Linked DNA regions of Solanum lycopersicum. The main gene of each other region encodes a partner of the protein of the gene in region 2 in a complex. Links are inferred from orthologs where the notes say so. Each region holds a gene or a part of one and is shown on either strand. Other genes may lie near its edges.

The links.
Region 1: gamma-tubulin complex component 3 (region 2) and gamma-tubulin complex component 2 share a complex: the UniProt entries of both Arabidopsis thaliana proteins name them as parts of the gamma-tubulin complex. The link is inferred for Solanum lycopersicum from reciprocal best matches to the Arabidopsis thaliana genes SPC98 and AT5G17410.

Annotation. Positions count from the first base shown.
Region 1 is NC_090801.1:61,614,562-61,618,612, forward strand, and holds the start of gamma-tubulin complex component 2, read right to left. Parts: upstream 2,813-4,051; 5' UTR 2,499-2,812; coding exon 2,412-2,498; intron 2,226-2,411; coding exon 2,170-2,225; intron 2,003-2,169; coding exon 1,957-2,002; intron 1,527-1,956; coding exon 1,392-1,526; intron 1,207-1,391; coding exon 1,075-1,206; intron 567-1,074; coding exon 483-566; intron 405-482; coding exon 306-404; intron 1-305. UniProt on the Arabidopsis thaliana protein: Gamma-tubulin complex is necessary for microtubule nucleation at the microtubule organizing centers (MTOCs). Required for the positioning of the gamma-tubulin-containing complex on pre-existing microtubules and for the proper organization of cortical arrays.
Region 2 is NC_090808.1:2,980,278-2,984,492, reverse strand, and holds the start of gamma-tubulin complex component 3, read right to left. Parts: upstream 2,801-4,215; 5' UTR 2,669-2,800; coding exon 171-2,668; intron 66-170; coding exon 1-65. UniProt on the Arabidopsis thaliana protein: Gamma-tubulin complex is necessary for microtubule nucleation at the microtubule organizing centers (MTOCs). Required for the positioning of the gamma-tubulin-containing complex on pre-existing microtubules and for the proper organization of cortical arrays.

The DNA of each region.
Region 1 (4,051 bases), on a different chromosome or scaffold from region 2:
TGGAGGGTATCTTTGTAAATAACTTTTTTATGCAATAAATGCTATTTTTAATGCATCAAACCAAACAATGCATAAAAATAATTATTGAATAATGAATGCAAGCATAACTAATACATGCATTACTAAACGACCCCTTAAAACATAAAAATTGCAGGTCTCATTTTGATAACCATGCGAAACCAAACCACAAATGTTCAAGCAAATATGGAATTTAAACCATCGTAATGAATCTATGGTATTCCACAATTCCAGGGGAACTCAGACATAGATCCTTAAAGTCATGAAAAGTGACTAAGATGTTAGACCTGGCTTTGCAAGAGGTTAAGGACTGCAGAACCAACACAGTTATCCGCTGCAGCCTTTTTCACCACCATAGACAGTGCTTGCATCGAACCCATCATTGGCTGCAAGACATAGCTTCATAAGCACCAATGACGAGGAGTCAAACTGAATGGAAATTAAACCAGTTTAAGCAGCGTTACCTGGCAGTAAAACCATAATCCTTGTATAGAAAGTTTTCCTAAGCGAAATTGATGTTCAAGCTGTGCCACCATTGCTTGGTAGTCCTGGAAAAAATATATTCTAGACTTCAATTAGCTCTCCCTTTTTATTTTCCTTTATTATTCTTTCTCTTAATACTACATTGTACATGTATGTCCACACAGCATGGGACAATTATGGAAACAACTCATGGCATCCAAAAACCTTAGACAATTAGCTGAACCAAATTAAGGTAGCAGACAGGTTTTCTCAGCTTCCCAGGAGATAATCTTCTGAAAGTCACATTAATCCATCCACAAAAAGAGATTTTTATTTTGTAAGGTAATAATTTTTTTAGTAATAATTGAACCATATACAAGCTATACCAAGGAGGAGAGAATCTACAGTATCCAAAAAGAGATTAAACAAATAATGAAGATGATTCAATCCTCCCAGAAATGATTTCTCAAATATAAAATTTAGATATCCTCAAGAAGAGCTTATACATAAGATGGATAACATACCAGATAAACAAGTAGAGAAAAGAATAATCCACCATGCAACCATAGAAGGATCAATAAATAAGAAACTTACAAGGAGGAGTGCCCTTAGAGCTGCAGCAAAGGCATGATTGACTAGGCCTGTCTTGAACTGTGACCTTGTCTCCACAAACTGGTTAATCAAGATATAACTTTCGCATAACGGGAACAGCCTTTTTGCAAACTCCTACAATAATAGCCCAAATTATTTCAGCTAATGTTTTAAACTAAATACGCTATGGATTTTCTTTCATGTTTACTTGGCTTTTAGCCTCAAAATATTTCGTTGCTTTAGAACACTATATATCAGGGATGAAATGTCTCATTTTTTCGTTAGCTATTTTTACAGAAAACATATCTCCCTATAAGTACCTGAAGAGCTAAATCCATAGATGCATCAACCTGAAAGGTTATGTCATCCTCCTTCCCTCGGACTTTCTTGATCGAAATATAGCGTCCTTCAATTCCAATAAGGGTAGATAGAAGATCATCAATAACAATCAATTCCTGCATAATAGTTAAGACAATATTTTAATAAATGACGGTGACCCTGACCAAACTCAAAACCAAGATCGTCAAGTTCATATAGGACATAACATATTAACAAGAAAAACCATTTAGATGGGCCACAACATAATAGTCCTCACTATCCTTAACCTTAAAACTTAAAGCAAGAAAATACACAAATATTCACAGGACCTTAACTTGCAAACTATATCAACACACACACAAGAAGAAAACATGACATAAGTTGACTACAGTCTCGTTAGAACTTATGATCCAGGTGTATACGTTTGGAGTCAAATATATAACTTCTTCTTACTGGCATTATACTAGATGATAACAATAACAATAAGAGTGACAACCAACAACAATATGAACAAAAATTATAAAAAGATGGATAAGGAACAACCTATTTGATTCAGCAGAGGCATACCTGAATGGTGGCATGGTAACAACCTATAGCTTTATCTGCTCCGGAACTGCATTAAAATTTCCAGACAGAAACAGAAAATAAGTAGGAGATGTACCAAATAGAAGTCACCAATTTGACTTAAAAAAGTAAATCAAACACACCAAGATAAAACACATTATTAAAAAAAAAAAAATTGAATTGTAATAGCAGAAAGCCAAGGAATAAAAGGGGAACCTTGATTCCGCAGAAAACCCCTTGTACTCAGAAGTTCCAGACGAAATCTTTGTTTCCTGTATGTATTTTCAAGGGGCAAAATAGTTTCAATTCAACCTAGGACATCAAGAAAAAGAAGAAAAGAAGGGCGGAAAAAAGCAGCATTCATGAAGAGTCGAAAAAGTCCAAGAAAATGAAGGTTTTAGATAACGGCATGAAGGGGTTTATTGCATACATATGTCAAGCAATAAAATGTTGAGTACCTGATAAAATTGGCCAGTAAGAAAGGGACGATCGAGATTCCAACCAGGAGTTGATGGGCATAAAGAAATTGCAGCGGCTGAATCCATGTAATTCGTCTCAAATCTTGAAGTTGAAGTAAATGGGGATGACCCAACTCAGTTTCAGCAGGAATTGCTCCACCGGCACTTCCGGTGACTGTTTGAAACCGTAGACACGACCACAATGCCACCGCAGTTCAATTCAGAACTTAAACTTTCAAGATTTCACAAAGTGTTTCTCATTTTAGGGTTGATGTTCTGATTAGCTGAAGATGAAATTTTTGGGAAAGCAAATTCAGTCTCACAGTTTAAACAAAAAGAGAACTGCAAATTTTGCCCAGAGATGGTAGTAGTTCTCTTTTGTCGAATAATAATAATAACATATATATATATATATATATATATATATATATATAATTTCAAAAATCTCCACACTTTGTTTTGCTAATTAAATTTTTTAAAAGGGAATGGGTCAAAAATGTTGTTAAACTATGTAAAAGAAATAAAAATATTTTTCGTTGTTTATAGTTTGACTCAAAAATATCTACCATCAATATTTTAGTTTAAAAGTACCTTTGTCAATATTTTTGTCCGAAATGATCCTATAGTTACTAAATGAGTCAAAAATGTTATTTTCTGAATAAATATATTATATTTTTCTTTTTAACACAATCTTTTTCCTAATTAAAATATTATTAACGAACCATGTTTTTGTGTTCTTTCTTTTGAAATCACTTTAACAAAATAAAAAAGTGAAATATTTTTTTCTTCTTAATCTCATTTTATCAATTAAAATTGAATAATTTCATGTACCCCTTCGACATATCATATACGTCATATATAAAATATCGTAATATATTCATCATTAATTTATATTTATATTACGATAAAAATATTTATTAAAAATGTGCTAAAAGGATAATAAATAATATATTTATTTGGAAAGTAAATATTTTTGACCTATTAAATAACAACAAGAATATTTTTAGATCAAAATATTGACGGCAAAGATACTTTTGATCAAACAAAGAACTTTTACCCTTTCCCTAATTTAAATATTATTAATGTGAAAAATCTTAATATGACCAATTTGCCTTATTAATACATACTACTATTATTTAATTACTTTCATAAACATATCTTATTCGTCAATGAACAAAGATTAAATAATTATTATTATTATTATTATTATTTAGAAAGAGTAGTTATTTGTGTTTCATGAATGAATCTGAATTATAATTATTTTTTTGGTCATATCAAAGTAACAATAGAGTTCTTTGCATTTAAAACATGGGTATAATACATAAATATGCTCTTTAACTTGATTTCGAATTATATTTATGCTATTTAATTTTGGATTTGCACAAATAGACACTTAAATTTGTATAAAGTTGAACAAAGAGACACATATGTCATCCTACGTGTCATTTTTTTGTCATATGTGGTGTATTACGTGTATTGTTCAATGTAGGACTCATGTGTTTATTTATTTAAAAAATTGAATAGTTAAAGTGTATGTTTGTGCAATATAAAAATTGGAGGTCAAAATTAAAATTTAAAGTCAAGTTTAGGTCCAACATGTTTATGCCTAAAACATGCATGATTTTGTGCTTTGCCTCCTA
Region 2 (4,215 bases):
TTTTATCATTTGATTTTCCCCGTGACTTGACTTTATCACGAGAGTTAATTGATGTATCTGAAGTCCTGTAATTTATAAGGAGATACAAACTGTTAGAAACATCGAAATACTGGGGGGGGGGGGGGGGGGGATCCAAATTTCATTTAGAGATGGAGAAAAAAGATCAATACCTTGATTGCAGCTCATTAATGCCTTCATATAGTCGATCTGCCAAACTTCGGAAGCGCAATATCAGGTCAAATAAAACAAAGAGTGTCTTGTTAAGCTCCTGAGAACGTTCTCCAAGCAAAGACTTCTCTAAAATTGCAAACAAATACTTTTCATGTGCTGCAAGAAGATCATCAAGGTCTTTCGATAATTCCATTTCTTTCACAAGATTAGACCATGAGACCTCCAAAACTTCAAACATGATGTAGTACTGCAAATTAGAAACAAAGTGATTCATCTCATCCCAAAGAACTTGACACTTTCTTGATGTCAAAATCAACTGCGACTTAACAGCCTGTGGCAACTTAGAAAAGAAGTGGGAAGTGATACAATTTGGTTTCATTGTCTTCCAAGTACCAGTTAACGCGTGTTCTACTCTTCTGAGCTTCCACAAAAAATTGAAGACTCTTATATATCTTGTCATTACAGACTCTGTAAAAATTGTATTCAAAGGAACACCAGCATCATATTCCAGAGAAAAGACATCCCACCCTCTATCTCCAGTTTTATGTGGCATCATCTTAACTCTTAATCTAGCGCGTATATCACAACCATCATACTGCGCATTAGATGAGGTGATAGCACTCTCCAACAAAGTTGCCAGCTTAAATGAGCTGATAGTATTAGCTGGCTCAGATAGCTCAGGACCAACAATATCCATTAGATATTGTACAAAATCACCTTGACCAAGAAGCAAATAGCGCTTAATGGCAAGACAATGTTCCTTGAACTTGTACCTTTTGTGCATAAGTTCAAGTAAATGTTTATCGATTCTTTTTGCTGCTTCTGTAACCAGAGATTCAAGCGCATCAGTTTCGCCATACCCAAGACTTCCTCTCGTGGTTGTAGTTCCAACAGCTGCTGCTGCTTCTGTTGCAGCATCAGCCCAACCACGATCATCACAACAAACTCTGAGAAAGTTAATTGATTTACCAGTCCTTAATATCTGTTTGGCAAGAGACTGGGAAATAAAAGCAGGAAGCATGGCAGCATGAAGCCGGTAACCTTCTCTCCAAAGAGACTCGTCTTTTACAGGTTGACTCACAATGAAAAACTCAGCAAATATATCTTCAAGTTCTCCTTCAAGCACCCATCTCCTCACCATCTCAAAAAGAGGGGAACACACCCGACGCAATAACCTCTTCATAAAATCATTAACGAGTGGATCACCATGCTGAGCATGCATGTGAATTGCACCAGCCATTGCCCCACCCTTTAAGCTCTTACAGTTATCAACTAAAACAGCCATCAATCTCATCTTCACAATTGGCTCAGCAAACCAAACTGTCAGTCTTCTTAGAGAAATATAATTCCCTGAACATGCACCCTCTGAACCCAATGGTATTGGATTCATTGCCTGCCCTTCGAGCACCGCTAACAATTTATAGTACTCTGAAAGCTCATCTTGCAATGCAGCACAAAATGCTTGTCCAACTGTGCCTACATCTTGAGCAGGGAACTGATTCATACTATCTGAGATGTATCCTTTAACTTTCCTAAACAACCAGCCAAGCTCACAAAGCTTCCTAACAACACTTCTCGTAGCCCTTGGAACTTTCATCCAATCAGGCAACACATAACCATCCTCATTCTTATCATACTTTACATACTTCCCGTCAATCCCTTGACAAGCATATAGCACATCCCTCACTAAAACATCCTCAGATACCTCATTTTCTTCCTTCGACAAGTTTACAAACTCCTTATACGCCATATCACGTAAGTTCTCCGGATCCTTGGAAACCATCAAAACCCCTCCACTCCATCCCTTCCCTACTTCACCTTTACCCCTCAAAACTCTCGAATTATCACCTACACAATTCAAACTCTGAAAATCATCACTCAGACTACGATCACTATAGCCTTTCTCCATTTTACCCAATTTACCCACCAAACCCCTAGAATCCTTACTATTATCCATGTTACCCTGCACATTATTCAAAACCTTAGAACTATCATTTCTGAGCCCGAAATTACGATTCGATTCACTACCAACCAATTCCGGTAAACCACCCGACAATGCAGAGCTAAGAAACCCGTTAGGTGCTACAGAAGCAGACTGGTGTTTTTGAATTTTCCGATCTTCGGAGACGGTTTTAAGCAAATAAAGAACAGCCCATTTGTTTCTTACACTACCCTGTCCTGTTTTCAACGAGAATTTGGTATATACATCAGCAAAAGTTAAGGCATCAGACGATTTACCTTGAGTAGCTAACCGTCGCTTAATGGATTCCACCATTGCGGACTCATCCGCAGCAATTGAAGGTGTCATTCGACTGGAGAGTATGCGAATGGCGTATCTTAGCGCTTGGTGATACTGTTGATCGGAAGGTATGACAGGGTTAGGGTTTAAGATAGTGGACTGGTGGGAGTCGGCGGTGGAGGGCGGCGTAGAAGTGGAAAGTAAGCGGTGTACTAGCTCTTTCACTAGATCTAGTGCTCTTCGGTCGCCGTCGTCCATGGTGGATCTGCGGTGGCCGGCGGCGGAGATGGTGAAGTTAAGTGAGAGAAGTTGGTGAATATGCCTAAAGGAACAGTTTTTATTTTTATTTTTCTTTTTTTAATTTTGATTTAATATGGGCGCGGAAATGATATTTCCCTTTATATTTTTTATTTATATAAATCAATTGAAATATTTGTTTGAAACTTTAAAAGATGAAAAATTCATTAGTATGGAATTATGATATTTTTATGTATTATAAATTGAAATTCTTAGTTTTCCTCTTAGCGTACTTTTGAATTTTAATGCTCTATTGCTAAATTTGATATATTTGCTTTCAATTACAAGAAATTCTAGTCTAGAAAGGATAGTATCGTATATCTTCTTTATTTGTATAATTTAGCTTCCATTTTTTAAAGTCAAGTGCTTTCGATTTCTTCTTCTTTTCTTTATCTTAGTTCTTTTTCATATTTTATTAGCTCAATTGCAAGAATCAGTGAAGATTTTTGGATTGAGATCAACTATTGAAGAACAGCTTAAGAACAATTAGAAAAGAAGAGGAGAATTAGAGAAGAAGAGAGATTTAAATAAGAGAACAATGATTTGTATGTTGATTGATCTGATGTGTACATATGAGATGTGTTTATGTACAACTGTAGTACTAACTTATTCAGTCTAATTCTCAACTAACTTCATGATCAACTAACCAACTCTATGACCAACAGTAATTGTACCTAACTAACTGACAGTTAAAACAGAATTTGCTGACATGACCAATAGTAAGGCTAATTAGCTGATTACTGTAACATATGTATATAAATACTAAAAAGATAGATTGATAGGTTAATCTTAGTGAGTCATACGTTTCACATATTATCGACTTTGATGACATGTTATTATATATCATGATCATATTTTATATGTTACTGAGTTATTTTTACTGCATTTATGAATGAAGTATTTTTTTCACTCAAGATGCGTATAAGTAATTGCTTTTTAAATTCTATATACACTTTTTTACTTTGATCTATCAAAATATATCATGATTTAATCAGAGATATTTCTCTAATAAAGATGGATATAATAGAAGTATCTAGAATTCAATTTAATTAAACTTGATCTGTAATGATGATAGAAGTACAACTATATAGAATAAAGTCTTGCAATGACTAAGTTAATTCTAAAAAAAATTATTAGCTTTTGATTTCATATTTGAAGTTGAATTAAATTTAAATGTAGATCAACTTTAAAATTTATCTTTGAAATTGAATATTTTTTTAGTTGGAAAAGATAGTTATTAAAATAAAAAATTACTTAAAGATTATAATATACACTTCAATTGAAAATCAAATTTCCTTTTAGATTATGCACAAATAATTCAGGAACACATTAAATATGAATTATACAAGTATTTTGTGTGAAGTTGCAAAGAAGAAAAAGAAGTGAAGAAGTAGCAACACTAGCCAACTTTTAAATAATTATAAAAAAAATAAGTTATATTTTAGATAATGCCTTCACAAGTGATAGACCAAAAAGGGTAATCATAAAAATTATTTTAAAAATATAAG